Drosophila melanogaster: one gene and its partners. The protein of the gene in region 1 interacts with the protein of each later gene in a pairwise test. Each region holds a gene or a part of one and is shown in the gene's direction. Other genes may lie near its edges.

Evidence for each region.
Region 2: the proteins of CG10026 (region 1) and CG4884 interact in a two-hybrid assay, tested with the Drosophila melanogaster proteins (one large-scale study listed by BioGRID).
Region 3: the proteins of CG10026 (region 1) and CG43208 interact in a two-hybrid assay, tested with the Drosophila melanogaster proteins (one large-scale study listed by BioGRID).
Region 4: the proteins of CG10026 (region 1) and Brd interact in a two-hybrid assay, tested with the Drosophila melanogaster proteins (one large-scale study listed by BioGRID).

Annotation. Positions count from the first base shown.
Region 1 is NT_033779.5:19,452,259-19,460,778, forward strand, and holds CG10026 (uncharacterized protein), read left to right. Parts: upstream 1-3,419; 5' UTR 3,420-3,922; coding exon 3,923-3,925; intron 3,926-4,150; coding exon 4,151-4,310; intron 4,311-4,371; coding exon 4,372-4,466; intron 4,467-4,565; coding exon 4,566-4,910; intron 4,911-4,969; coding exon 4,970-5,148; intron 5,149-5,217; coding exon 5,218-5,335; 3' UTR 5,336-5,465; downstream 5,466-8,520. Other genes in the region: Top2 (topoisomerase 2), read right to left, coding at 1-27.
Region 2 is NT_033777.3:27,954,556-27,963,059, reverse strand, and holds CG4884 (uncharacterized protein), read left to right. Parts: upstream 1-3,814; 5' UTR 3,815-3,884; coding exon of another isoform or gene 3,885-3,982; intron 3,983-4,040; coding exon of another isoform or gene 4,041-4,872; 5' UTR 4,873-4,960; coding exon 4,961-5,253; intron 5,254-5,315; coding exon 5,316-5,388; intron 5,389-5,440; coding exon 5,441-5,644; 3' UTR 5,645-5,704; downstream 5,705-8,504. Other genes in the region: CG31131 (uncharacterized protein), read left to right, coding at 1-1,019; CG31253 (uncharacterized protein), read left to right, coding at 2,526-3,665; CG42487 (uncharacterized protein), read left to right, coding at 3,885-3,982, 4,041-4,872; Nep7 (neprilysin 7), read right to left, coding at 5,822-6,829, 6,894-8,039.
Region 3 is NT_033777.3:13,299,691-13,306,388, forward strand, and holds CG43208 (uncharacterized protein), read left to right. Parts: upstream 1-3,735; 5' UTR 3,736-3,774; coding exon 3,775-3,802; intron 3,803-3,867; coding exon 3,868-4,061; 3' UTR 4,062-4,166; downstream 4,167-6,698. Other genes in the region: CG8774 (uncharacterized protein), read left to right, coding at 61-205, 260-793, 856-1,784, 1,866-2,541.
Region 4 is NT_037436.4:14,968,979-14,975,894, forward strand, and holds Brd (bearded), read left to right. Parts: upstream 1-3,688; 5' UTR 3,689-3,760; coding exon 3,761-4,006; 3' UTR 4,007-4,220; downstream 4,221-6,916. Other genes in the region: Tom (twin of m4), read left to right, coding at 449-925; ocho, read left to right, coding at 6,326-6,775.

The DNA of each region.
Region 1 (8,520 bases):
GGACAGGGCCTTGTTTCCGTTCTCCATGATGCTTCTGTCGCTGTGCTTTAGCTGAATCTTCAAAGAGTAAGCAAAAGGCATTTGTTAATGTAATATTAATATTAATAACTAATATTCCGAGCCATTGCCTTAGCTACTATTAATCACTCGTCCTGCGTTCTACTAAGTAAAAAAAAAACCAAAGCTACTAGCAGAAGACTACAGTACCCACCCAGTTAACAGTTGCTATTAGTATATTAGTAATATTATGTTCACGTTTTTTTTTTAATTGTTATAATACCAAATAAGATAGATGGCACCCAATATGTTTAATGGCCTCTTAATAACGGGGATGGTTGTGCGTTGGCATGTGATGCCAATGCTGCTGATGCTGCTGTTCAACAATTTTTTATTAATGAATGCGCACTGTACCCACGGTGAAAAAAAAAAACAAAACGCGCGCCCGCGCATTGCGTAAATGCCGTCCAGACAAACGCTGCAATGGAATGGGACTTGGCCAACATGGGAAATGGTTGGGTACGTCAAACAGAAATAACTGCAGATAAATTGAAAAACGTCAAACTAAGTATTATTTTGCCTGGTGCTACTGTACTGGGAACAGATTTTCAGCACACTTTGAAATACATAACAGCCCTGTCTCTTTGGCGGCAACGCTTGGCGTGCGCCGTCTGTTGCGTGAGTGTGCGTGTTTATTGGCGTTTGCCGGTAGTCACCGCTATTTATTATTTCTTATTAAGGTTCTTCGAGGGGTTTCACTTTATAGTAAACAAATTCAGGCCTACATACGCGCTCCGCGCTACAAAATCAAAAAACTATGGTTTTTAAAGGCCCAAAATTAGCTAAATGTCTATACCGGTATCGCCATTTTTAATTTGCAAGCGACGCCACCGAAAAATTGCTATATCCATCATATTAAAGGATTAATTAGACAGGGCTCTTAGGTTCTACGGTACAGCCAATTCTACGATTATGATTCAGCACTTTCTGCTTACCTGGTTAAAAAATTGCCAAGTATTTGTGGCCTTTTCTTGCTGCCGCCGACAACCGAAGTGCGGCAAAACTCTATGTTGCAGGCGATACACGAGGCGGTGCACTACAATTTTCGACTTGTACGTGCCCCACGCGTCTGCTGCCTTTAGCTAAAACTTGTACAGTTCTCAACTAACTATTAAAATACGCACAGCACATTTAACAACTTTTCACAACCGACAACAAATGAGAAGTATTGCTGGTTTTAGAGCTGGCAAGGCGCACAAATCGATGTTTGAATGAAATCGCTATCGATAAGTCCCATAACAGTGTTGTTTGGGTTGGTGCATACGCTCATTGTGAACAGGGCTAAACTAGTAACTGCGGTCGGTGACTCCGCTAAAAGCGTGATCGCCAAAATCACGGTTTTTTAGTTCTATCTCAATCACGTGATGAGTTAAGCAACAGTTAATTCTAAAAAATTCGAAGGTAATAAATAATAATAACATTTTTGGGGTTAAATTCTTTTTCGAGTCGAAAGTAGGGGTTTTAATTATTCCAACTAACATTTCTTCTATTTTTTACATTATAAATCGGCATTGAAATAAATGTAAAAAAGATAAAATATTTCGATCTAAATGCAAATTATCAAAAATTTAAGACAAAGTAAAACCATTAAGAAATTTATCCTTTCATATGCTTAGTATTGTATCCCACATCAATGTGATATACAGCAATTACTTAAAATGAAATGAAATGAAAAATTGCTGCTAAAGTTGCATTTGTGCAATTAAATTTCGCACCGTTGAAGTGAAGATTGCTTTTCAATTAACCACCTGGTAATATGAATATTCCAAAGCCAAGACCATGGCTACAAGAGAACTGGTTTTCTTTCTGCCATTTTGCCTGACCTTGCCCAACACGACGTCATAAAGGGGCATGTCCCTCCCCATCCCGTTGCGATTTTCATTCCGGCTCAGAAACATGTTTTGAATAGTGCAAACAAAATATAAAGATTCTGGATTCATCCGAGTTACTCGGAATTTCTGCTTGGGTAATGGAGAACCCTTCACGCAGTGACGTCACCGGAGCTCATTGAACTTGCACAGCATCGAATATCGTCCAGAAATATTCTCTACTCCTCCAAATCTGTTGATTCTCGTTTGACAAGCATCAGCAAAGATCTCTCAATATGCGGAGTGCAGTTTGTACCCTGCCAAATTGGGAATTTCAGCTGATGCATGGGAAAATTGTGAACTAGCGGAGTTAAGTGCAGTTTATTCCAGGATACTATTAGCAAGTTGAACAAGATGTGAGCTAAAACTCCTAAGATTTGGTAAGATAAAAAGATAAACATAAGTACTACAATTAGCAATTAGTTTCTTTTTTTTTTTTTTGAATAAATTGTATGTATATGTATTGTTAATCAACAAATTTTACTTAATTGCGTTTTTAAGGGTGTTTGCATCGTCGTTTCATCGAGCTGGCTCTCCCTATTTTCAGATGCTGGTTTCTCGTTCTCGCATACTGGTTTATAGTCATAAGTGCTGCGCTTTTTCTCGACTTTTTCCATTGAGACTTGTGTTCATAAAATCTTCTGTTCTAAGCGATCCCCAGCTCAGTTTCATTCCAAGCTTCTGCGATGCCACTTGTGTGCGATCTTCGTTAAGTCGGATTCCCCGTACTGCAAGCTGGAAAAAATAGAAACCGTGACCAGAAACAGTAACCGCCACTCGGATTGGATTATTACCTGGTAATGAAAGTGAAGACCCCGAGCTAATGGGGCGATTTAAACAGGTGTTTAAAGGTGCAGGTGGGGCTGTGAAATAATCGCTTATTATCAAACACCCTAATGGGGGGCACTATTATTGTGATTATCTTGGGATTATCAAATCCATGTAGACAATTAACGACAACAATGGCGAGTTCATTAACACTTGAACCGAACTACGAGTATGTATGTGCTGGGACTTAAGCACTGCAATCAGGCGTACTTAAAAGTGCATAATGTGTAATTAGTTGGAATTTGTTGAATATGATTAAATATTGACCCAGGCACTTTGCACGGCCACCACGTGTGAAATTTGTGTGTGCTGCACTTTGAGATCGCGGTGGCATCATCTCACAGTATCTGCCAAATACGCGTCGAACTCACACAACGCTGCACCGCACAGACCCCAAGCGACCCGATTAGCCATTGGCGAACTGGGAACGCGGCGGATAATGCCTTATCAGGCAGTGGCTCCTCTACAATCGCGGGGTTCACTGGGGGCAAGTTTGGGTCTGGCTCTGCGTTTTGGGGTGTAGGGATAGGAATTGGGAAATCCGGCCAAGGCCAGGTCGAGGTACACCTAACAAGAGCACATATTTTGGGGCTGATGCTGAACACTATGCAATTCCAAGATTAAGCTAGCAATGTAACAATCGGTACTAACCCCCAATTAGTATATATTTATATTATATATATATATATTATTATATTATATTAATATATTTTAAATGATTTTAAAAATTTTAATGATTTCATTTTGCATACATTGTTTTGAAAGTGTACCTACCTAATGTATTGATTGCTGGAAACAACCAACCCAAAGGCAATGTTTCTAAAAACTAAGTGCAGCCAAAACTGAGTAATTGCACAACACTTTACTTATACTATATTGTTTATAATTCTTGTGGATTCCCGCTCCATCAATTAAGTACAGCAGATTCACTAAATTTAGCTCGAGCTCAGTGACACACTGTTATCACTCATCGGCTGTCTCCTTCGCGCTATCGCAATGTTCATTGTTGTTCGGTTTCTAGTTAATATTTAATGGTCGCATACACACTCGTACATGTTTAGCGACAAGTAAAACAGCATTTCGCCTGGGACTGTCACCACTTGGCCCGATTCTGGTTCCGATCGGGGGCTCAGTTTCACACTTGGAGTCGAGCGGATCACAGCCCATAAATGGTAACAACGAGAAATTCATCCAGCAGTGACATGCCAAATCTCTCTGAAATTTAAATGTCAATACGGGTGGCGAAATGTTGCTAACAACGAAACAATCGGGAACAGTCATATTGCGCTATTCTCAACTGGATTTATTTTTATTTACATTTTGCGCGAGTGAAAAGCGCTTATCAATGCACCACCCCCTTATGGCCACATTGTATCTATAGTTTGGGCTTTTTTTAGACGACCAGCAGTGGATGCCGCACCATGCCCACCATCGAGCACAAGCTAAACATCACCGAGGAGGAGGTTCCGGAGCACATCCGCCGACTTGCCCAGGAGCAGGGAGAGTGTCCCAGTTCCAAGGATAAGGTCATCGAACAATTCCGTAACTACATACTAGGTTGGTTATAGTCCGTTGTCTAAGAGGTACAAAGGTATTCATCTGAACAAAACCTCTCCAGAACATAATGAATGCCAACCACACAGAAGTGATGCGAAGTACCTGGAGAAATTCCTAAGAGCCCGCTACTGGAAAATCGAGAACAGTTACAAATTGGTAAGAAAACTTGGGGAAATCTTCATTTTAGTTTGCCAACAGCAAGTGACTATTTGATAATTATCTATTAGGTAAATGCAATAACTCATTCCCTTTCAGCTCTGCAGTTACTACAGGTTTCGGGAGCAGAACAAAAGCTTTTATGAGAAGGTTCGTCCTCTGGACCTGAGACATGTTGGGCAATCGGACATCCTGACAGTGACTCCCTATCGGGATCAACATGGCCATAGGATACTCATCTACCGATTCGGACTGTGGCGACCCAATCAAGTAACCGTCGACGATATATTTCGCGCCACCATTGTCCTGCAGGAACTGGGCAGCCTGGAACCCATCTCACAGATTGTCGGAGGAGTGGGAATATTCGATCTGAAGGACCTGGGCTTGGAACACATACTCCACCTGAGTCCCAGCGTGGCTCAGAAGATGATTGCTCTACTAGTGGTAGGATAACTACTTTTTATTATTTTCAATAGCTTTTTTAACCTACACTTGGCTTGCAGACCTCCATGCCCATTAGAACATCCGCCCTTCATATTGTAAATCAGAATTGGGTCTTCAACGCGGCATTCAAGATATTTAAACCTTTCCTCAACGCCGCTATGCGAGAAAAGCTATACATCCATGGCAGTGACATGACTTCCCTGCACAAACACATCAACCCAGAACATCTTCCCAAGCGGTAAGTAAAATGGTTTTTTTTTTTTATTAAAATAATTAGTCAGATATAATTAAACTTATACTATTTCAGCTATGGTGGCTTGCACGAGGACTACTCTTATACGCTCTGGTTGGATATGCTGAAGGAGCAGTGTTCGGGCAATAGTATCCAAAAGGATATGGAGCAATTGGGATTCATCTTTGACTAGGCTTCATGCCTTGTTTAAAATGATATGCTTGATACTTGTATTTTTGTACTACATATATGTTAAGTAATGATACCAGAATCAATTGAAGCAAAGTAGGTGATATTTTAAATATTAAAGAATTTCGAAAATTACTTCTACGCAATATTACTCACCAAACAATTCATTTGAGTTTCGTTCCCAACAATTTGAGGTTAGAAGCGGCATAAACCGTAATGCTTCATACATTTGGCGGTCACATCAATGACCCATCGGCTATCACGACCAAATTCGGGGCAAAAGGCAATAATAATTTGTTCCTAACCGAATCAAATGGCCCGGCTAGCCCGCAAAACATTCGTTTCGGTTAGGATGTATAGCATATTGGTCCTTTGAGTTTTATGCGATTCGTATGCAAAATGCGTTAGGTGCTAGAGCGAGACAACTGGCCACACGACCATTCGCCGTTATGGTAATTGAGTGTTGGACAACGCATAAAATGCAGTCGGTAGCCATAAATATGTTTGCACTCGTCCTGTCACCGGATGTGAGCGAGAGGGGAGATCGAGCTCGACGAACAGAAGGAGGGTGCTGGAGATTTCGATTCCTCCATCTGACCGTTGCGAATATGTTTGATATTTTTTATTGAATCCCGTTGTCTCAACGCTATCCTCCGACCCCCGGAAGTCATTGCCGTCTGCGTAAAAAACGGTAAAGAATTACTTTCTCGACTTAAAGTTACTCTGTATTGTCAATTAGGTTTCATGGTTAAGATTTAGAAATTTATATATGGTTACACCCAAAGCTTCAGAGTTTAGAGCATATACTATATATAAACTGAAATTAAGTATATATAATTAAATGTTTGCTTTCGGTTAAAAGTATATTGCTTCACAAATTTTTTTCGTCCAAGTGCAGGGTGTCCAAAGTCAGAATCCTGCCCCCTCTATTCTCCGCAATGGCCTTGCTTTTCCGTTTGGTCAACGATAGTGAAATTGATTTCGGTGCTACCGGGGGTCTAGGTTGGCATTATGCGTATTATGTGTATGTGGCTCGATTGTGGGGATGGGGGTGGCCATAATCTGTGTGCGTGCTGGACAGCTGTGTGAGTGCGTATAAAGGACAGCGACATTTGTGCGATTAAAGCGACAAGATTAAAAAATTTATTGCGCAAATATTTATGGGGGGACAGTAACACAGTGGCAGTCAGAACGGAAAAAACATTCGGACAAAAAACACACATCGCATAGCCTACATTTGGGGGGCACGACCGATGCGCGTTATTAGTTGGCTTTTTGGCATTTCGGCTTTTGGCTTCTGGCTTCTGGCAACACGTGTGTGAGGCGAAACCGAGCTGGACATAATTTATGGCTGGCAAACTGAATTTATTCGAGTTTTATTGAAAAACAAAGAAGGCGGTCAGAAGGGGCAAAGGATTCGTTTTCTTCAACATGTGCTGTCTTTTAAGTAGCCAATGTCTTGGGGATTTCGAGATACACATAAATATATCATTCCGAGGACGACAGAAATCTTTTTGACCAGTAACTAAAGGAAAGTCATTACAAATTGAGCAAACGAGTATCCAAAACCATTTAAAACCACTTAGATAGTTCGCTGGATTATTAACTTTAAAGGGAACCATAGTTGGTACTTGTTTGATTTCTAATTAGTGTCATTGTGTGTCTCTTCTATTAGTATGCTCTGAACTCAATTTACTCTTGAAATAACCTCCGATTTATTATTCCGTAGACATGCAGAAAGCCAAATTCCCCAAAGAACTTCCTCAATTCGAACTCATCTGCTTCCGCATCTCACTTCCGAAATTGGCCATATTATCCAGGAGACACATTTGAGGGCGTTCCCCGGCTGTCAACTGTCACCGAAGGCAGTGTCAAACTGACAGTCGTTGACATCCGTTGACAGTGTACCTGACCTCAATTTTTCCCTCTCTCCCAGAAGATATGTTTGCAACCCTAAACGGATAATTGCTTCCTAATGAGCTGGCAAGGGTGACCCCGACCGAATCAACCCCTCACTCACACCCCGTTTGGGTTTCCTTATCACCGAAGGCGGTTTATCACGCGGCGATTGGCAGGCAGATCCCAGGCCAAAAGCAAAACACAATAGGAACAAATAAATTATGTCCAGCGATTTGTAAACAAACATCAACTGTGCCGAACGGGGGTCAATTTCCCACTGCCCCGCGAAGTGAGGATTGTTCGGGCTTGGGGGATTTCCATAAATAAGGACCAGGCCAGACCAGTATAATTGAAATATTCGCTGTCAATTTGTTGACTCCGGAAGACGACGACTCCAGGCCCGAGGCGAAGGTGTAAGCTGCATAAATGGTGGATCGTTATGGTTCTGTTGCCACAGACACCGATTACCACAGGTCCTGCCGCAGGACGAAGTATGTTTGCTCGGCGAAGGACCTCCCAAGTGATAAATGGTTGCGAAATTTATTTACTTTGCACTACCGACTGCCAACTGTGTGTGTGCCAGAGAAAATTATGTGTGATTATGAGCTATTGAAACATCATAGGGACATTTTGTGTTTAGAATTTGCTTTTAAAAAATAAATAGGAATTTCTTAAAGCGAATAACTTTTTTACTTGATTAAATAGTTTTGTAGAATTTAATTTCTATGTTTTTTAAAAGGCCAACATTAGGTTAAGAAGTATGTATGTTTCCTAGAAATAAAGGTTGCTAGCTAGCCTTTTGGACGAGAATTTTTGCTTTTAAATGAGTGATTTTGAGTCTCATCCTAAAATTAAAACTGGTGCACATGCACTAACTTCCAGTCTATCTTGATCCTCCGTCACAAGTCATTAATGCTGTATTGGAAAAGTAGGAGCATAAATCGCGTAAAAACTCATTGTGCAACAACACAAAGGAGACCCCCAATGGAGTTGCACTCCCGCTGAGATATGTGGATGGAAAGTGAGGTGGTGGCTGGTTTTCCACCGGGGTACGGAAGGTAAATTGACGTGAACATGTCAACGTTATTTGCCATTTCAAAATCGATTTTTTGTAGATTCACCAGGAGACGCTCGTGATAAAACACGACTATACTTCGTGCTTAAAGTGCACTTGAGGCGATGATCTGCGGGATTCCGGGGGCGATGGGGATGGACTGTCGGGTACAATCAATCACATCACCACATGGCAGGATGGCGACCACGTTAGAGCGCCTTTTCCCCAGTAAGTTG
Region 2 (8,504 bases), on another chromosome or scaffold:
AGCCTTACAAAGCCAAAATCTACACACCCTACAAGCCGCGCATCGTAAATTTTACCAATCCGTTCGATGGAGATTTTTGGGACACAACTACGGTGGCCACCAATCCGCAGGAGACTACTGGCTACTTCACTGGGGAAGTATCTACTACAACGGAGAAAAGTGCCACTGAGGAATCTACAACTACGGCGGTGGATTATTCAACCACCGAATCTAGTTATGTAACTTCAACCACGGATACTTTATATTCCACGACAACAGCTTGGCCGGAAGTCACCAGCACAGATGCTATAGATGCCACTGAATCAGTAGCCCTATATTCCACAACAACTTCGAGTCCAGAAGCTGCAGATTCAACGACAGAAAGCAATTCAGACAGTACTGAATATGCTGAATCAACGTTAATTTATCCAGATTTATCTACAGGATGGCAAGAAACTACTACAGAAACCATTCAGAGCTCTACAGGATTGCAGGAATCAACAACAACAGAGTTTATGCCAAGTACTACGGAATTTCCGGAATCAACGACTACTTTAAGTTCTGAATTTTCAGAGAAAGAACTAATAAAAACTACCACAGAAATAGAAATCAATCCAAGCACTACAGAATTGCCGGAATCAACGACTGAATCTGCTGATTCTACCACAGAACCGAACGAATCCACGTTTGCATTATCCACAGATCAAACTACAACTGAAACAGCAGAAACTTCAACAGAAGAATTGTTTTCAACCACAGAAACCCAGGAATCTACTACATCCTTGCTGGAAATCATTGCCACGACTCCGGGCGTGGAAACTACCACGTCGTATCTGGATGCAGTGATTGACAGCACCGAAGAGGAAAGTTCTACATTATCAACACCATTTGGATTTAATTTAACAACAACGGAAATAGTAGAAACTCAAGTAGAAACCACAACACCAAGGCAATTGAATTTCGTCGAAGATTACGTTCGCCAGAGACCGAGAAAATTGAAGTACTCTTCGGACACGGAGCCGGAACTTTACTGGTACTGAAAATGATTGCAAATAAAAATTAAGAGTTTGATTAAAAATTTTTAGAAGCAAAAATTAAGAGTTTTAATTTAAATAAAAACGTAAAGCAATTGGCAACGCGATTTAAGCTATGGCTTATTTTAAACTAAGAAACGCGGTCACACTGGCCAAAAGCCAAACACATTGTTGTTTGATTTTTCAGCAGAAATTTTTTATTTTTTATTAGTTTATATCGTAAACATGAGTTTGTCCAGCATAAAACAGAAAGAAGCTAAGGGCAAAAAGAAATTGCTGCCCAAACTGCGCAATATTCTAGCCAATCCTTACAAACAGCACAGGTGAGGCGGGCAGAAACCAATAAAAACCCAATCAACAGGTTGTTTCTTTTGACTTTAGCCCTCTTTTATCGGAGGAGGAAGTGCAGCAGTTCCGTCAGATCCTTCAGAATGCAATTAAAAGCAGCGACGGGCAGACCAAATCGTTTGCCACTCGATACGGAATACATCTCGGCCTGGAGAGCTCCCTACGCGCCATAAACTCGCGGCGTTTCTCCTGCCTATTGGTTTCCTTGAGCCTGCGACCAACTCACCTCGTCCGTCTAATGGCCACCAGTGCATCTGTCAAGATGCCCACGTGCTCCTTGATCTGGAACTTGAGCTTCTTCACTGGCTCTATAAGCGGCTTGTCCAGCGGCTGGGCGTCCTCCTCCTGGACAATGGTCTCCACATCCGGGCCGTAGACCTCAACTGCTGACGGATAGTAGCGTTTGTCCTCGTGCAAAACCACGGCGGTCACCTCCTTGTCCTCGTCCTCCTGTGGCTCCACCTCGTCCTCGTCCATGGCGTCCTTTAAATGAAACACCATAAATTAATTATAAGTTTTATTTTATTTTTTGCACGTTTATACCTCTGGGTCATCCTGCACATCGGGTTGCCCATAAATACTTTGCTCATCTTCCTCGTCGCTGTCTAAATCGGGGCCAATATAGTTGCCAAACTCATCGTACAAATCGGAATCCATGGTTTTTCCTAAAATAAATATATATATCAATACTTTCATTCAAAATTTGCCGGTGGCGTCTTAGAAAATTTAAAACTTTCACGGTGACTCGAAACTTATGCTACTCTTGTTTTTTGTTGTTTTTACCGACTTACCAATTGTTACAGGACCTTCTGATTGCTAAATTCTTCTTTAAAACGTAAGAAAACTGCAAATAATATAATTATTCACAATTTTTACACAAAAACGCGGACTGCAAACACGCTGTTCTTCTTCTTCCCCGAAAAACACTCAGCTGTTAAGCGGCCGGCATTACCTACGGCATTGCCAGCACAAATAAAGTAAGCGCTTGCAGCCCTGGCGGCAACATTTGAATTTTCCAGTTCATTAGGGCTAATTAACGTTTTTGCCAAGAAAGCAGGTAGCTAAAATACGCGTTGAAACGTAGGTAGACCCTTGCGTTTATATTGCACTGCAGTCGCCAAAGGTAATTAGTCGAAAGTGTCAACCGAAGGTATCAGCATCATAATGAGAAAATTCTGTTTGCTTCTTTTAATGGCGCATTTTGTGGCCTCAAGCCGAAATTTAAACGATATTCTCGGTCGCGAGGAGTGGATTAGCATAGCCAAGGAATACATCAAGAACCACAAGCCTTACAAAGCCAAAATCTACACACCCTACAAGCCGCGCATCGTAAATTTTACCAATCCGTTCGATGGAGATTTTTGGGACACAACTACGGTGGCCACCAATCCGCAGGAGACTACTGGCTACTTCACTGGGGAAGTATCTACTACAACGGAGAAAAGTGCCACTGAGGAATCTACAACTACGGCGGTGGATTATTCAACCACCGAATCTAGTTATGTAACTTCAACCACGGATACTTTATATTCCACGACAACAGCTTGGCCGGAAGTCACCAGCACAGATGCTATAGATGCCACTGAATCAGTAGCCCTATATTCCACAACAACTTCGAGTCCAGAAGCTGCAGATTCAACGACAGAAAGCAATTCAGACAGTACTGAATATGCTGAATCAACGTTAATTTATCCAGATTTATCTACAGGATGGCAAGAAACTACTACAGAAACCATTCAGAGCTCTACAGGATTGCAGGAATCAACAACAACAGAGTTTATGCCAAGTACTACGGAATTTCCGGAATCAACGACTACTTTAAGTTCTGAATTTTCAGAGAAAGAACTAATAAAAACTACCACAGAAATAGAAATCAATCCAAGCACTACAGAATTGCCGGAATCAACGACTGAATCTGCTGATTCTACCACAGAACCGAACGAATCCACGTTTGCATTATCCACAGATCAAACTACAACTGAAACAGCAGAAACTTCAACAGAAGAATTGTTTTCAACCACAGAAACCCAGGAATCTACTACATCCTTGCTGGAAATCATTGCCACGACTCCGGGCGTGGAAACTACCACGTCGTATCTGGATGCAGTGATTGACAGCACCGAAGAGGAAAGTTCTACATTATCAACACCATTTGGATTTAATTTAACAACAACGGAAATAGTAGAAACTCAAGTAGAAACCACAACACCAAGGCAATTGAATTTCGTCGAAGATTACGTTCGCCAGAGACCGAGAAAATTGAAGTACTCTTCGGACACGGAGCCGGAACTTTACTGGTACTGAAAATGATTGCAAATAAAAATTAAGAGTTTGATTAAAAATTTTTAGAAGCAAAAATTAAGAGTTTTAATTTAAATAAAAACGTAAAGCAATTGGCAACGCGATTTAAGCTATGGCTTATTTTAAACTAAGAAACGCGGTCACACTGGCCAAAAGCCAAACACATTGTTGTTTGATTTTTCAGCAGAAATTTTTTATTTTTTATTAGTTTATATCGTAAACATGAGTTTGTCCAGCATAAAACAGAAAGAAGCTAAGGGCAAAAAGAAATTGCTGCCCAAACTGCGCAATATTCTAGCCAATCCTTACAAACAGCACAGGTGAGGCGGGCAGAAACCAATAAAAACCCAATCAACAGGTTGTTTCTTTTGACTTTAGCCCTCTTTTATCGGAGGAGGAAGTGCAGCAGTTCCGTCAGATCCTTCAGAATGCAATTAAAAGCAGCGACGGGCAGACCAAATCGTTTGCCACTCGATACGGAATACATCTCGGCCTGGAGAGCTCCCTACGCGCCATAAACTCGCGGCGTTTCTCCTGCCTATTGGTTTCCTTGAGCCTGCGACCAACTCACCTCGTCCGTCTAATGGCCACCAGTGCATCTGTCAAGATGCCCACGGCTCCCATTTACGCGCAGCCCAAACTGGAGGAGCTTACCCAGGAAATCTTTGGCGTTAGAGCGCTTTCCTTGGCCTTGCCATTAGATTTGAAAGCAATAAGCGAGGACTTGGAACAGTGGATTACTGCCCGAAAGAGAACACCTACACCTGCTAAGAAGATAGCCCCGAAAACGCACAAAAAACCCAAGAAGAAACCCGAAATAATCAAACCAGCCGAAGAGGAAAAAAAACCGCAGCTCCCAGTGGCTGAAAAGAAGGATTGGGGTGATGATTTCATATCCTGCTTCTCGGACGAACCCTCAGTAAAGTTGGACCGCGTGGATGTCCAGGTGGAGACCCAAAAACTGGGCAATGCCCTCAGTAATTTGGCAATGAAAGCCAAAAGTAAAAAGCCGGTAGTAGAAGTCAAAAATAACCCTGTTAAAAAAGAGAAGTCCCCCAGCCCAGAGCCCATGGAGGTGGAGCCACATGATGATGATGATTTCCTGCCCGCAGATCTGCACAACTATCGCCCCCTTACTGTCTACCAAGTGCGTCCTAATCCCGACAAGAAACCCAAAAAGAAACGAAACAAAAAGGCAAACAAGTCCTAGAGATGGTTGGCAACGCCACCGCAACAGCTGTAGTTTTTAGGTTATGTTATTCAGTTTGTTATCGTAATTGTTAAGGCGCCCACACAAAATGCTCCGGACTTTTCGTCAAATAGCCCGACTAGGAAGATCCCTAAGGACGCCATTTCCATCTAAAAGTCTGCCTAAACTCTCAACCACCTTAGAGCTGCAGGCTCCTGTACACACCAGTGCTTCAGCGTGGAAGTACGACAAGAAATCCTCACGAGCATCGGATGACTTGGACAGCGACGACGAGGATGATGAGGATTTCAAGGACGAAAGGGACTCCAAGGTGGTCAAGACCAAGGTGAACTCACTGCGCGCCGATCTCCTACTGAAAGCTGGCCTGGGCATGGCGAGAAAGTAAGAAACAGCCGAAGGTTTTCTAAATGCCCCCAATAACCATGATGTCTTACCTCCCACAGCAAAGTGGAACTGAATTTCTACGAGAGCAAGATACGCGTCAATGGAAAGAAGCTGCCCAAAAAGAGTGCCCAGGTATGGAGTCCATATATAGATCGAATTCAATCTTATGATTTACCATTTACAGCTGGAAGTCGGCGATGAAATCGACGTAATCCGAGGCTTTAGTCAATCGAATCCTTCCCATCTGGTCGTGGCCCGCGTCTCAATCCTCTCCGTCAGCGAGCGCGAGGAAGGACTCAGCGTCCACCTGAGGCGCTACAAATCCCTGCTGGTCGAGAATTACCGGGGACCCAACGCCTTCAAATCCTCAGAGCACGTTGCTCATTAAAACCAATTAGAAATAAAGAGACTATTAAGAGTAAATGGGTAAAGTCGAGTGAGTTAACTCAATTGCAGAAATGTGTAAGACTATATCGTCGATTTGCATTATTTTTCCTGTTTTCATTTATTTTGTAGTTGAACATCTAGAGTATTTTACATCTTTTCCTTTATATACGACTTATGGTCACCACATCCGACAACTCTCAGCCTTCGGATGCATTGGACTGCCCAGTGGGCACTTGTAGACCTCAGCAAAATCGTCGTTGTTGGAAACGGCACCCAGCACCCGATACTTATCGACGGTATGTGCGCCAGTGAGCTCCTCCCAGTAGTGCTCCGGCTCGTAGTCGGCGCACCACAGCTGCGCGAATCCCACGAAGAAGAGCTGCTCCGGCGACAGGTCGAGGCCGGGCATCTGCTCGTTTTTGTGAGCCAACGTCTCCCCATCCGCTCCACTTCGTTGCAGCTGCTTCATGTGGTTTCGATAGCCGGTGAGTGCGGCCCTCAAGCCACCGGCGTCCGCTATGTTCTCGTCCCTTGTCTCATTGCCGCGAATTGTCTGGTTGATTTCCGGTATCAAGTATTGGTTGAAGTAATCCACATAGCACTGCGCCCGTTCCTGGAATACCGCCTCCGACTTCCTGGACCACCAGTCGCGTACTTCGCCGGCGCTGTCGAAACTGGAGCCCTCCGTATCGAAGCCGTGGGTCAACTCGTGACCTATCAGATAGCCAATGGTGCCGAACTTCAAGGAATCGGGCCATGAACGGTGGTACGCAGGCGGATGCAGTACTCCCGCCATCACGTACACCGAGTTATCCAGATTGTAGTAGAAGGCGTTCACCTGCATTCCCACGAGCAGTGTCAGTGGCTTTGTGTCCTTGGGCAGCTCGTCCGCATGTAAGCCAGCGTAGCGATGAAGATAGGTGCCCAATACTCGCAGATTGATCAAACTCTGGGCATAGCTGCCTTCAACAATGGTCAGATTGTTGATCTCGCGGATTAGAGTGTCCGACAGCTCTTCGTTTTTGTAACTGCCGATTACTGGCGTGATGCCGGCCTCCTTGCTCAGAGCCTCTGCTCGCGTCTCCGCGTCCAACCACTCCACACTCTCGAGGATCTGTCGCTGGGCCTTTCGCATTTCGGTCACCATGTCAGAGATCTCCGAGTGCTTCTCGTCGGTGAAGTGCTCCTATGAAAGTTAGTTGATATCAATTGAAAAGCTAAGCTTCACATATTCACAGCATCCAACTCACCGCCATGTAGAGCCTGTTGAACAGATTTGGCAGCGTCATCTGGACGATCATCAAGCAGTTAACCTTTTGGTCCTCCGGCTGCTTGGGCTCCTTCAGCTTGTCGTCCATGCGGTAGAGAAACCGCATGGCTAGATAATTGGCCACCGCCTCCGTATGCTTGGCGCACACCTTGTCGAGCTCCACATAGTAAAAGTCGCAGAATTCGCCACCGGACGAGCCGTTGTAAAAGTCTATACCATTCCAGGCTATCTCGTAGTAGCTCCTCCACTGACCAAATCGCGGCACCTCCTCAATCTCACTGAGCAAATCGCACTTATCCCTATCGCTCTCGAACTTATCCTCAATACTGAGCGCCTCGCTCCAAAAAGCAAAGACGCCTTCGATCACGGCAGAGATTTCATCCTTCGTGAGATTGTATTCCTTCAGGTAGCCACGCATGCGATGCTCGTTGAGCTGGTAGGCCCGCGAGCTCGTATTGGCAACGTGAGCGGTGTGGACGACATGGTCAAAGCCCAGTTCGGGTAGCTTGAAGTACGGATTGAAGGGATGCTGCGGCAGAATTTCTTCGTGGATCAAACTGCGAACGCCGTAGTTGCTGAGATGGGCGCTCATGTTGAACCAACTGAAGCTGGAGGCGTTCCAGGCGTCTCTGTCGACGGCGGGAAAACCACCCAGCGACCTGATAACCGATAGATAAGCGGGATCGGCAGCGGGCCGCGGAAAGAGCTCGGCCGCCAGGCAGGAATTGTAGAAGCGTTGTGCAACGAGCAGCTCGGCGGACACGTTCAGTGCCTCCGCCAACTTTGTCCTGGTCAGCAGCTGCTCCGTCACGTCCATCAGTGTGTAGCTGATGTCCAGAATATTGCTCCGCCTATGGGGCGATTGCCGCGGCGTTTTCACGTTCTTCCAGTTGCCGCACGCGAACTCGTAGAAGTCGTCGCACGGATCGACGCTGAAGTTCATATAGGACTTCATCATGGCGCCATGGGATCGCAGGTAGTCGGCCGTCTCATCCGTAATCGCGTTCTCATGGGACTCGTCGCCAATACTCCTGGCCTCGCAGTCATTCAAAATCACGCAGATCAGGATGCAAACTGCCAGCCGCGTGTATAGGGGCAGTCGAAAGTAGCTCGAGATTGAGAGCATATTGGTCCGATTCGCAGGGCACACACGCAGTTTGTATAATATAATAAAGTAGTGCGGCCAGTGATCGATCGACCCGGATTATTTGAAAAACCCAACAAGCTCGACTACCTAATCCGGAACGCGATTGAGAACTGAGCAAGCAGCAGCATCTCTCCGATCCCATCGGCGTGTGCTTTTTTTTCGCAATCATGTTGACCAGCAGCACTGGACAACAGAGATTATAATGAATTATATTACTATGACGTCGTTCCGCACACTTTCACCATCTTTGGTGCGCATTCTAAGCCACTGCTTTGAATAATAAGGAGGAGGTCATGGGCATCCAAGCTATCTCTCTAGCCAACTTAGTTTTTAGGTAACCACTTTCGCAGAATGGGAACGATTTTGCTGCACTGTGTAGTCCGGCTGTTCTCTTGGCGAGACTTGACCTAAGCCACACGCTTCTGTTGATAAGGATTTGTAAGT
Region 3 (6,698 bases), on another chromosome or scaffold:
TGTTTTGAATTTTTATTTGAATACTTTTTCAATATATAAATTAATATTTTCCTTATGCAGAACCATTTCTACGACGAAATTCGAACCCACTTACGCGCGTCAGGCCTTCCCATGCTTCGATGAACCAGCCATGAAGGCCACATTCGCCATTACAGTGGTTCATCCATCGGGATCCTACCACGCCGTTTCCAACATGCAACAAACGGTGAGCTCAAGTAAACAAACAATTTAAATGGGTTAAACAAAATTTAAATAATAGGAATCCAATTATCTGGGTGACTATACTGAGGCCATCTTCGAGACGAGTGTGTCGATGAGCACCTACCTGGTATGCATCATTGTGTCCGACTTCGCTTCCCAATCGACCACGGTGAAGGCCAACGGAATTGGCGAGGACTTCTCCATGCAAGCCTATGCCACCTCGCATCAGATCAACAAGGTCGAGTTTGCTCTGGAGTTCGGACAAGCTGTCACGGAGTACTATATTCAGTACTATAAGGTGCCCTATCCGCTGACCAAACTGGACATGGCCGCCATTCCCGACTTTGCATCTGGGGCCATGGAGCACTGGGGATTGGTGACTTACAGAGAGACCGCTCTGCTGTACGATCCCAGTTACAGTTCCACAGCGAACAAACAATCGATAGCCGGAACACTGGCCCATGAGATTGCACACCAGTGGTTCGGAAACCTGGTCACCATGAAGTGGTGGAACGATCTGTGGCTGAACGAGGGATTCGCCCGCTACATGCAGTACAAGGGAGTCAATGCTGTGCACCCGGACTGGGGAATGGTAAGGAAATGGATAATACCGATTTGAATCCTCAAAGAAAATATCTTATATTTACCAATCAGCTGGAGCAATTCCAAATCGTGGCCCTGCAACCCGTGTTGTTATACGATGCCAAGCTATCATCCCATCCGATTGTCCAGAAGGTAGAAAGCCCCGATGAAATTACGGCCATATTCGACACCATCAGTTACGAAAAGGGAGGATCCGTGATCCGCATGCTGGAGACACTTGTGGGCGCCGAAAAGTTTGAGGAGGCGGTGACCAATTACCTGGTCAAGCATCAGTTCAATAACACGGTGACCGACGATTTCCTCACCGAAGTCGAAGCTGTGGTAACTGACTTGGATATCAAGAAACTGATGCTCACCTGGACCGAACAGATGGGTTATCCGGTGTTGAATGTCTCCAAGGTTGCAGATGGTAGTTTTAAGGTTACCCAGCAGCGATTCCTCTCCAATCCAGCCAGTTACGAGGAAGCCCCTTCAGATAGCGCATACGGATACAAATGGAGTGTTCCGATTACCTGGTTTGCTGATGATGGTTCAGAGAACAGCTTCATATACGACTACGATGTGGACTCTGTGGGTATTGCCGTGCCCAGCGAGGTGCAGTGGATCAAGTTGAATGTCAACCAAACGGGCTACTATCGGGTTAACTACGAGGAGAGCCTGTGGGCCCTGCTCATCCAGCAGCTAACCACCAGTCCCGCTCGATTCGAAATCGCCGATCGTGGCCATCTTTTGAACGATGCCTTCGCCCTGGCGGATGCCAACCAACTATCCTACAAAATTCCTCTGGATATGACCGCTTACTTGGCCCAGGAGCGCGACTTCGTGCCCTGGTATGTGGCCTCCAATAAGCTGAGGTCGCTCCATCGCAGTCTCATGTTCAGCGAGGGATACGTGTCGTACCTCACCTATGCCAGAAGTCTGATCGCTGGCGTATACGAGGAGGTGGGTTGGACTGTGGACGCCGACAATCACTTGAAGAAGTACGTATATAAGTACCAACTTGTTTTTCTGAAAACATTACTCAAACTACTGTTATTCAAACAATCTTTATTCCTTTGCAGCCGCCTGCGTGTTTCCATTTTGACCGCCGCCTGTGCCCTGGGTGTTCCAGATTGTCTGCAGCAGGCTTCCGAGCGCTTCAGCACCTTCCTGGAGAATCCGACCACTCGACCTTCCCCCGATCTTCGCGAGATTGTCTACTACTACGGCATGCAGCAGTCCACCAGCCAATCGAGCTGGGATCAGTTGTTCCAACTCTTTGTGGCCGAAACCGATGCCAGCGAGAAACTGAAGCTGATGTACGGATTGTCTGGCGTACGGAACAGCCAGTATCTGTTCGACTTCCTGGCACAGGCCTCCAGTGATGAGAGCATCGTTCGCTCCCAGGACTATTTCACCTGTGTGCAGTACATAGCCGCCAATCCTGTGGGTGAACCGGTGGTCTGGGAATTCTACCGCGAACAGTGGCCCCAACTCACCACCCGTTTTGGCCTGAACAACCGCAACTTTGGACGACTTATCGCCCAGATTACGGCCAACTTTGCCAGCTCCGTGAAACTGGAGGAGGTTCAGCACTTCTTCTCCAAGTACCCCGAATCGGGAGCTGGAGCTAACTCCCGGTTGGAGGCCGTGGAAACCATCAAGTACAACATCGAATGGCTATCCAGAAACGAAGCTGACATCACCGACTGGCTAAGTGGAACGGCCTCGCCGCTGACCAAGAAAAACCAATTGTAAAATTGTATATTGTATATAAACTGGCCATTTAGCCAATAATTAGAGTTGCATAAGCGAAAATTCCGTTCGAGTTCAATAAAATGAAATTTCAAAATCAAACCATAAATACAACCCCCATATTTTCATTCATTTTATCCGAGGCAAGTGGGGATTTCTATAGCTTCTAGGAAATAATTGGAGATAGGGTCTTTGAGTATATGGTCAATGCGGAATCATGACCATGCGTAATTATCCTGAGTAATTAGAGTGTCCAGTCATAATAGTCGATATATGGCCTTGTTCGAATCGTAAAAGTAATGGTCTAGCATAAAACGATTTTATCTGGACACGAAGCTATATAGTATATAGTCTAGATATCGGTCAGCAATCTGATCAGGTTTATCAAGTCCAAATTGTGGGGTCAGATTCGCAACTTGCATTCAGTTTCCAATTTGGCTTCCAGCCTAGTGGAAGCAGTCGAGTAATTTTCATCGAAAAAAGAATATCCCTAAAAATGGTTGCCTGTGAGTCTTCTATATAGAGTAGCATATCCCGAAGGAACAGTAACTAATGTGAACTCATTTTAGGGCTGACGGTTAAGTCAGTGGCCATCTTTTTGGGCCTGGCCTCTACTGCTTTTTGTGTGGCCACGATTGTGCTGGCCGTTCAGAATGCGGACCTGGAGAACGATCTGCAGGATGCCCTCGATAAGATCGACGCATTGACGGTGGACACCACGTCCACGTCCTCCACCTCTACCAGCACTTCCACGACCACCACCACTGCAAATCCCAATGGGCCCACGGATGACACCGAGCCTGGCTCTACCACCACACCTGGCGTAGGAGGTGACACAACCCCCAGTGCAGGAACATCTCCGGGTGGTGAAACTTCGCCATCATCCAGTACAGGAAGCACCACCAATCCCATCTATCCGACATTGCCGACAGGACTTCCTGATCCTGAAAAGGTGAGTGAAGTGCAAGAAAAATATATTTCACGGCTATAAAAGATGTTAGTTCAGAAAAACCCTCACACAGAGTGGGAAAATTTTCAGCGATTAGACGTAAAGTCGGCATGGCTACTAATTTCGAATTTATTAAGTTCCAACTTAGTCTTACTGGTCATTTCAAGTGCTTATCGCTTGGCTAGCGTTTTTTTTCCTCTTTTTTATCATAATACAAAACGGGTCTAATTTCTTGGGTCTTTTAAGTTAGTTTAATTGCGGCTAACGCAGTGTTAGGAGCCACAAAAATGGGACACATGCAGGACAGGATTAAGGGTATTTATTGATAACGAAGGAAGTTTTGGGAAAACACCGATACCGATTCATGTATATTTTCATAGACTTGATCACCGCTGAGCGCGTGGCTATATTCTTTGGTCTATTATCGACCTGCTTGATCGTTGCCCTTGTCATTGTGGCCGTCCACAGGGATAATTTATTGCTGCAGTTGGACGAAGCCAAAAGGATGTTGGATGTTCTGGAGGAATACATTCAAAGCCACTTGTTGTCCACCATTTCGGAAAGAAATTCATAAGAATTAGGGTGCTGGCAAACATTCAAAAAGATGGCTTTCAAATCCATATCTATTTCCAAAAATGGTTAAAGCAATAAAGCAATAAAGGCAAACGGATAAGAAACCAAAATACGCTTAGGTTTCAATATTTGTGTAGTAGAGCTATTGTTGTTTGATATCTGAAATTGCACCTAATAAATTAGGACCCTAATTTCACAACATTTAGCCACTATATCCAGCTAAGGCATATTTGTTGCAACGACGTCCACTTGGTTTACGACCTGACCACAACAGTGCTATTTCCTATCGCCACCTTATCAACGCATTGCTCACTTAATAGGGCCAAAGCCCATTATCGATGGCGTGGATATTAAATAAACTTTACGACCCCGCAGATCGAATGGCGCCTGCCCACGGAACTGACGCCCATCAAGTACAAGGTGTACTACCATCCCGACTTGACGACCGGCGCCTGTGAGGGAACCGTGTCCATTCAGTTCCAGCTGAACGCGATCACCAACCTGATCGTCCTGCACGCCAAGGAGCTCAATGTGCACAGCATCAGCATCCTGAACATGATGGCGCGCATACGCGTGGCCATCGATAGCATCAACTTGGATGAGTCCCGGGAGCTGCTCCTGATCACGCTAAGAGAGGTCCTCAGTATGAACAAGGCCTACACACTGTCCGCAAGTTTCGACTGCGATCTGAGCAGTCTGGTGGGCAGCTACATCAGCAACTACACGAATGCCGATGGAGTAGATAGGTGAGTAATTTTAAGGTATATCTTGCGATGACAAACATTTTGTTAGCATGTCTAGACTAAGATGTCAGGTATCTTTATTATATCGTACTATTTATGTAGCTAAGATCGTATCTAGTGCACTGTCCGCAACTAGTACGATTGCAAGCACACTTGTGAATACCCCCAATGCATTGGAGATCATCGCATGTTGGGGCCATAAAAAAGCCGGTCTCAGCTGATGAGAGAGCTTTCCGGAGAAGCTCGAGTGCCGTGACAACTTTGGAGCCCGCTTCAGTCGGAAGTTCAGAGCAGAGCGCGACGGTCGCGATAGAAAAGAGCGGACTCCGTCTGCAAATACGATCTCAATTACGATTCTCGCGATTCCCCTTTCTTTTCGCTTTTCTTCGTTTTCTCGGATTTCTCGAGTGCGCGCCTACGATTTGAATCAAGAATGATAGCTGTCCGGCAATTGCCGTTATCAAATTAGCCGAGTGAATATTCCTCGGACCCGGCAAAGTTACAATTAATGCCATTCGTAGACAAAAGAAAAACGAAAAACGAGACACGAAAAGCTGTGATTTCAACTGTAAATCAAGTAAAAGGCATAGTGCGAAATGTGACGGGAATAATAGATAATAAGTGGCCCATATCAATCAGATACCGTTGAGTCCGCTCCAAAAGCTCCACGCCAATACAAAATGACCATTGTCACCGCATCGCCGTTATGCGATCAAAATTCTAGTTTTAATTGGGCGCATTGAGGCGATCACTATTTTTAATATTCGCTGAAATGTGACCACCGGATTCTATGCCAACTTTGACTTTCAACGGGTATTCGTTTCGATAAACAACGGGCCATCGCAGGCTGGCCAAGAGAACTCCACATGGCTGAATCAAACAGGTTGCACCGCTCCCTTCCCCTCCCCTCCTTCTTTCCCACACCCCTTTGGGACCGCTGCAAACAGGCTTGGAGCCAAATGCATACATAGTTCACTTGCCGCGCAAGTTCTTGGCCTTAAATCGGCCACAATCGATGCACAGCAAAAAAAAAAAGAAAAGAATTATATCTATCGTAGCCCATTATCAGATTATATTGGTATGTCTCTTATCAACGAGAAGTAGATTCTGTTCGTAGTTGCATTCTTTGACATTTATCAACAATTGTTACCAATCTGATTATAAGAAAAATTAATATCACAGTTTTTTTAATTATCAATATTATCAATATTATAAATTGTATATATAAATACAATTACGGCAATTAGACATTTTACTTCTTCATTAGATCTTCAATTTGTATCTTCGATTTTGTTGGTAATCATTTGCTTATGATTTTTTTTGCTGTGTATCTGTGGTTGTTGGCCAGCAAATGCGTCGTGTTTACATCTTCAATGCGGCAAATACTCAATGGCCGCTGAGAAAATACTTTCTTCAAAAAGCCGCAACAAAATGGGTCGACATCATTGACTGCCAAGAAACTTGTTGTCATAGTAGCTTCCCCTACCCGTTTCTCGCTGTGTTTCCTGGGTTTGTTTTGTTCTTGAAAGTTCAGTCAAAGCTCGGTGGTCAAACCTTTTTTTCATTTTCATTGACACTGATTTCTTTTTCGTTCTTCTTGGGCGAAATAGAAATTTTTTTATTTCCAAACGGTGGGAAAGAACCTTCGAAAGTGGAGGGCTTTTTAATTGGATTTTTGTGCTAATAATGTAAATTAACGGCTGTTGTTGGCAGAATTGATAAGGCACTTGACACCTTTGGCGGTGTGTAAATTATACAATTTAACACCTTGAAGTTCATTGATCTACATGCTGAAATATAAACAATTTCATTGATCTTCTATTTATAAAATATTTATTTATTTATATTTCAATGAACTGTTGATAAAGCTTACATAAATATTTGTAAATATCGCA
Region 4 (6,916 bases), on another chromosome or scaffold:
GGCCCCTTTCAATATTACTATTATAAATAATTTTTTTTAGAAAAAATACACTTAAAAGATATACACACAATAAAAACATATTAACCTTATTTTTCGTAAAATCTATTTTTTATGCACAGACTCAAAAATTCATCATACCCTGCTTTCTCAAGGGTAAGGACATGCTCCTGATTCCGAGACCGCTTTCTCTTGGCTCTCTTTTGTCTCCCGCTCTCACTGTTTGTGCAACCACCTGCAGGCAGTCTGCCTTCCCATTGGCTGGGTCCATCGATCGAGAGAACCGCCGCTCTGTGCGAGAATTCTCCCCCGCCGAGAGAAACCAAAGAGAGCAAATCGTATATAAGGAGTCGGTCGTGCAGCAGGAAAACCAGAATACTACCAACTCTCAACCGAGTGCAACCAACTAAGATCCCAAGTTTTATTATAAATCTCAACAATCCTCAACACAATGTCGTTCATCACACGGGAATACAAGTTTGAGAGCAGCAAGGTGATGGAGCCGAAATCAGATCAGCACACGATGGCCATGCGGAGTCTGAGGAAACTGGTCAAACCCCTTCTGCGACTGGTGAAGAAGAAGCAGCTACTCCGGAAGACTCTGGCCGAGATCCAGAACCAAAATGCAGTCAACGCCTCGCTGGAGGACATGCGCAAAGATCCGGCGGCCAGTTGCGATAACATGGCCAACGAGGAGCTGGAGCAGCGACTGTACACCGATCTCCGCCAGTGCCCCACCAACGTGGCCATGATCGTGCAGCAGGGTCAGCAACAGAGCATCGTGCCCGTCCATCCGGAGCAGACCTTCATCCCGGTCCACTTCGCCCGCACCACCAGCGGCACCTTCTTCTGGACCTCAGCCGAGGGAGCTCGCCAGCACCACGAACAGCAGTTGCGCCAGCAGTTCGACCGTTGGGTTCAGGCCTAAACATCGCCAGGATGCACAGTTCCACTTCTCGATGCACCGGGAAAAACTCCAATTGGCAGCTTTAAGTGCAAGTGTCTCCGTCCATTGGTCGTCGGATGGATGCGGGTTCAGCTTCGCATGTTCGTAATCTCAGGGTGATATTAGGCATAGATTGGATTCTTTGGGCTCGCGTCCCAAGGGAAACACAACTCTAATTGATATTCAATTATCACAATCAAGCGTTACTATCGTTAACTCATTGTGATTTATCGTGTCTTATTAGCCTTAAGTTAGTCTTAGCCGAATCATTGTCTTCCATGTTTGTTTGTTAGGGTCTTCGTATAAGAATTAGGCTAAGAATCATTGTCTTCCATGTAAAACTTTAGCTATAAACACTAATATCATATAAGAAATAAATAAATCGAAAAAAGGAAATTCTAATGTCTCTTTATTCTGAAAACTGATATGAAATAATATGAATAAGGTTGGAAAAGAAAAATCCCAAATTGAATGACCATTGTAAGTATAGTTAAATTCGGCTACTCTGTACAATTCTGATTTGAAGAATGGATTTTAAATTGGACTCGCTATGCTGGTGAACACATTCCAATTAGTGACTGCATTCATTCCTGCTTGGAGACCATTTGAATCCAAAAATGCTGCTGGTAGGCAGTTGGAAATACTTCCGTAAGAACAATAAAGAATTTTATTTACATTTATATTTAGCCTGACCACAGGCTAATATAATATTCACCAAATATTATTTTTTGTCTTTCATACAATTTCTGCATCTGTTATCGTTAAAATATGATTTTTGTTTCAAATATACCTAATATATACCTTTGTAGTATATATGTATTTATTTATTTATTCTATTTATATTTCGAAAATATTGGTATAGTAAATATCATATCTTTTCATATCATATTATGGTTCACACGCTTCACACGCACCCCAACCACCTAGCGCGAGGTCTAATCCAGCTCAGCAGCCGTTCCCGTCTCCGGCGAAAGGACCTACCAACCCAGCGAATAAATTATTAGGGCCGTTTAAACATAGAACAGTTGGAAAAATAATACAACTGTTCAAAAAATACTTGTTATAGTTAAGATTTTTAAACTTATTGTTAGTTCTTATACAAGAAGATTCAATAAATAAAAGCAAAGTAAAATAAAAAAAAAATATTATGGTTAAAAAAAATTACTGTTTGTATCTACAAATATTAAAATACTACAAAGAATTCTTCAAGAACTAATTATAAGAAAACCATATCAAATAACCCAGTCTAAAATGAATAAAATAATTTTTAAAAATTTTGAATGTGCTACAAACGCGTGAATTCTCAAAATTCTTTAAATGAGTCAATGATAAATATTTATCACAATAATATCATATATAATATGTATGTATATACGGCTAACAAGCCACCGAACTGAAATAAAATAAAGATAAAGAATTATGTATTAAAGAATACATGTATTTTCAGTGTAAATAATTTTTTTTTATAAGAAAAATGCAACATAAGTCATATTACAACACTCGATCCACAATATTTTGTTTCACGATAGCCACAAGCTAATTATGCAGGCTTCATTCTGGCGCTTGAATTTCAGGAAACCTGACACTAACAACTAAACTTGAAACGCCACCAAAATAAAATCTTCAAGTGCTTATGGGGAATTATGCCTGTGGAATAGTTAAGCGAGCCACAAGCACGCTAGGTTCCTGGTTGGTCACCCCCCAAGTGGATGGGCCAGGATCCTATCCCACTCCATCTAATGCAACTGGATTGGAATACGAATGAATCCCAAATTACAAGTGCCAAGTATTTCAATAGGAGACGAAATTCGAATTTCAACAAGAGACGAAATTTTAATTTTCTTGGAGAGCCCGAACCAACACACAAGTGTGGGGACAGTGAAACCTGTCACAGAAAACCATATTTCCAAGTGGTGGTTCCATGCAACAAGAAATCCAAAAATATCTTAAATCCCTATAGCAGATTTAAGGGAAAGATAAAGAAACCTTTCATGCAATAAACGAAGAAATTCGAGTTTCATTACGCTCCAAATTCAAATTTTGCCAAGGACCAAAACAACCCCGAAGAACAAGTGTGAGGACAGTGAAGCCTGCCAGAGCAACTACGCTGCAGTGAGTGTGGAATCTTGAAAATCCCTGCACACCTTCGAGCGAATGTTCACTGTACTCGAAAGGACCACAGTCTACCTGTACTGATCAAAAATGAAATGTTGACGTGTAAATATTTCTCGTTTGCCGACAACATGTGTTTAACGAGGGTCTGTCACTTTTATCCTCCACTGTCAGCCTATTAACAATTAATAGCCAAAAACTAATCAAGGCATAAATTCGAGCCGAGTCCTCCGCAAACAAACCACTCAAATTACTAACCCGAACCCGATGGAAAAGGGATGATCGTTTATTTTTTCATTTCTTTCATTTTTTGGCTATTTGTTATGCTTGCCGGCATCGTCCTCCTATTGGCATTCGACTGAAATTATACTCTCCCACGACGAAAACGAAATCGAGGGAGAGATTTATTTAGGGCCTACGAAAATTGTGGCCTTACTTCGCACACGTGCAAGGGTCGCTCAAAAAAGGGACCCGAAACGATCCCGAACTACCTGCAGAGAGTTGAGGAATGCGTGACTCTCATATTTTGAGAGACCGAGAAACACCTGCGCGCTAGGACTCGTCCTGATTGGTTGACTTAGGGGTTGCTTTCGCAAGGATCGGGTATTTAAGCGGTGCGCAATTCCGAATAGGACATCACATTCAATCGCAACGTTGAACAGCCAAGATCAGTCGACCAAGCAAGCAAACTACTAACTAGCAAAAATGGCCTACGAAACTCTGATGAACACCACCATCTACACCACCACTCCTGTCTGCCAGAAGAAGACCTACACACCCGCCAAGGCCATGAAGAAGATCTTCAAGGTGGCCTGCAAAATCTTCAAGGCATCGGGCCACCAGCAACTGAAGAACCACTCCATGCCGAAGGAGCTCCCACTGCCCACTTCCGAGGAGGAGCTGCAGAACTCCCAGAACGAGCAATTGGAAGCCGAGCTCGTCCAACTGTAATCGAGGAAAATGGGAAATCCGAAAAAAAATACCACTTTCCAATCAGCTTTAAAGACTCCAACGGATTCGGTCTCTAAACATCATCCGCAACAGCTTTAACTCTCCACACTGTGCAAGTGGAGATTTTAAAATGAAATGCACAAATATCCAGCTTTAATCATTGTCTTCCATCTATGTTTAAGAGAGTATGAATAAATACATAATATTAATACCGAAACTTGTTTGCATTTCTGATTTCTTATTCGAACTTTCCCTTTGTCATTGTAATTTCCTCGAAGGTTTTTCCAAGAATCTGTAAGCCAAAAACCGTTCTTATCCCGTACCCCTGACCCTTCCACATTCACGGAACAGCGAGACCCTAAGAACCTTAACTCGAAAAACAAAACCTTTACCTGTTCCCTTTTGTTGGAAACCTGTTGTGGATTCGAAAAACTCGAAAAATCAAGCCGAGTGAGCCGGGGAAACCTGTTACCTCCAGGCGATTTCTGATTTTCGTTTTCAGCGCTCCTTCTTAGGGTTGGGCCCTGGACAAAATAAATCTCGAATTGCATCGGAACAGGTAGAGGGTCCCGGTCCCAGTCCCTCGGATGATAAACAAAAAAGGCAGGGGCCCTACGCTACGAGCAGAAACAAAGCCAATCCTATCTCAATAATAAATGCGAAAAGGCCGCACGGTTCGGTTCGATCTTTATGGCATTTCAAAGGGGGCATTCTCGTACATAAGATCGTGTGTGCGTTATGTAAATAGTTTTACATAAAGTCGATGCAGATTCCTTATTGAAAGCATACAACCAAGTACAGTTCGGGATAATGTTACAGGTTACAGGACCCGTTGGAGTTTTAAATGGGCAATGATATAATACAAAGATAATGATATGATGATATGATGATGATAATTTTATTAAAGAAACAAAAGTTTAATTGATATTAATAAATCTAAATAAATATTTGTGTTTGAAATCAAGATAATTACATAAATATTAAAATAATTTATAGATTTGGGCGTTGAATTTAATTTTATTAAACTCTTATTTTTTATTTTTGTGATTCAAACTCTGTTATGTGTAGGATTTTGTTTGAGTTGGGGTAAATCAAATAACAATATTTAAACCATTACTAAACATTACAATAAATTCGTTTATAAGATAGTCGCAAAAAATGTGTTGTCGTCGCTTTATTAAAAACAACAATATTTTATGATATGTATCATATATGCAAATATATATGACTAATTAATTAATATTCATTATTATTATTTATTTAAAGATTCTAAGACCACTTACTTAACAAACCATAGACATCATACTTCTTCAAAACAAAATATTTGTCTCTGAGGATTTCAGCTCTTTTGTGGCCCTAAGTAATAGAAAAAATGAAACCTCAAGTAAATTTATATTAGTGATTGCTACAAACACAATTTGATATCAATAGGGCCCAAACATCTAAACAGACCTCATCTGCAGTTTTATATTTCTTTAGGATCTTTTCAACCATTTAAACACGGGTTACAAATTCTCACAGGCTGTAAATATAAATGTAAGGCGAGCAATCACCACATCCCACAATAAATGAGTTATAATACGATACATTCACAAAAAATGAACCCCCATTCTACAATTAATTGAGGGGTCTGAACCAAAAAAGTGAGGACTAGAGATGTTCAAAAATGAAACCCTCTGTCGTGACACGAAAATATTTGGGAAGCCCGCTGCCCAAGTAACCAAAATACGAGGAGCTCCCCAACTGAACGTGAGAATTCTCAAGATCGTGCCTCAAAGGACTTTCTGCGATGCCATCCCTAATCAACCGAACCGAAAAACATAAGAATGAAAGTGCACGATTTGTGTAAATTTGGCTTAGATTGTAGCTGGTTTTCGGTTACAGGATCGACATATTTCTGATGAACTGGCAAAACAAACCCAGTCGAAATCCAAAACAATAACTGGGTCTCCGAGAGAAGGCCGGCAATGTGCTGTTCCCACGCCAAGGATTCGTTTGGAACCCGGGGATAATTGTCTTGAAAGGAGGAATGGGCCCGAGATTCCCACGCTTCGCACAAGATCTCGAATCTCAGGTCCTGCAGGACCTACCTGCTGCCACTGACTAACGTGTGAAATTTCGGATCCTTGCACCTGCCTGCCTTCCGAGCGACGTGATTGGCTGAGATGCTGTAGCATCGCTCCTGTCTCCCAAGAAAGTATAAATAGCGCCTCTAATCTTAGTGACAGCATCACACAGCATCCGAACGTCGAAGCGAGAACATCCCAGCACGCATTCTACGCACTCACCACCAGAAAATATCTGAACGAAATTCATCTAATGTCGGCCATCAGCAAGCAGAAGACCCTCAACACCATGTACAAATCGAAAGTCTCGCCTTCGCGTCGCCTGAAGAATCTGCTGAAGCCGCTGCTCGGTCAATTCTTCAACATGAAGAAGGAGCAGCCCAAGAGGAGCTCCTACATCGCCTCCGAGGAGAAGGAGGCCGAGTTCGAGTGGCTCAGCAACGATATGGACAACATGGCCAACGAGCATCTGGAGCATCGCCTCATCGAGGAAATCCGCCAGTGCGCCAAGGAAGATGCCGTCATCGTTTACAATGAGAACGGATCCGGGGAGCTGCACACCATCGACCAGGAGGATTACTATGTACCAGTGCATTTTGCCCGCACCAATGCCGGCACCTTCTTCTGGACATCGGTGCAACCCAAAGCCTGCGAACCCTATGCCATCGAATGGAACTTCCTGGACCGTTGGGCTCAAGCTTGAACGAAGTAATCGCCTGGAGCTGCAACTTCAACCTTGAACGAAAAATGGGTTTTTTCAACTTTCGATTGGGATAACTTCAACTGGACTGGAGCTCGGTTCTCCAGCGGGATGGGTACTCCAGAGTTTGGGCACTTCGACTTT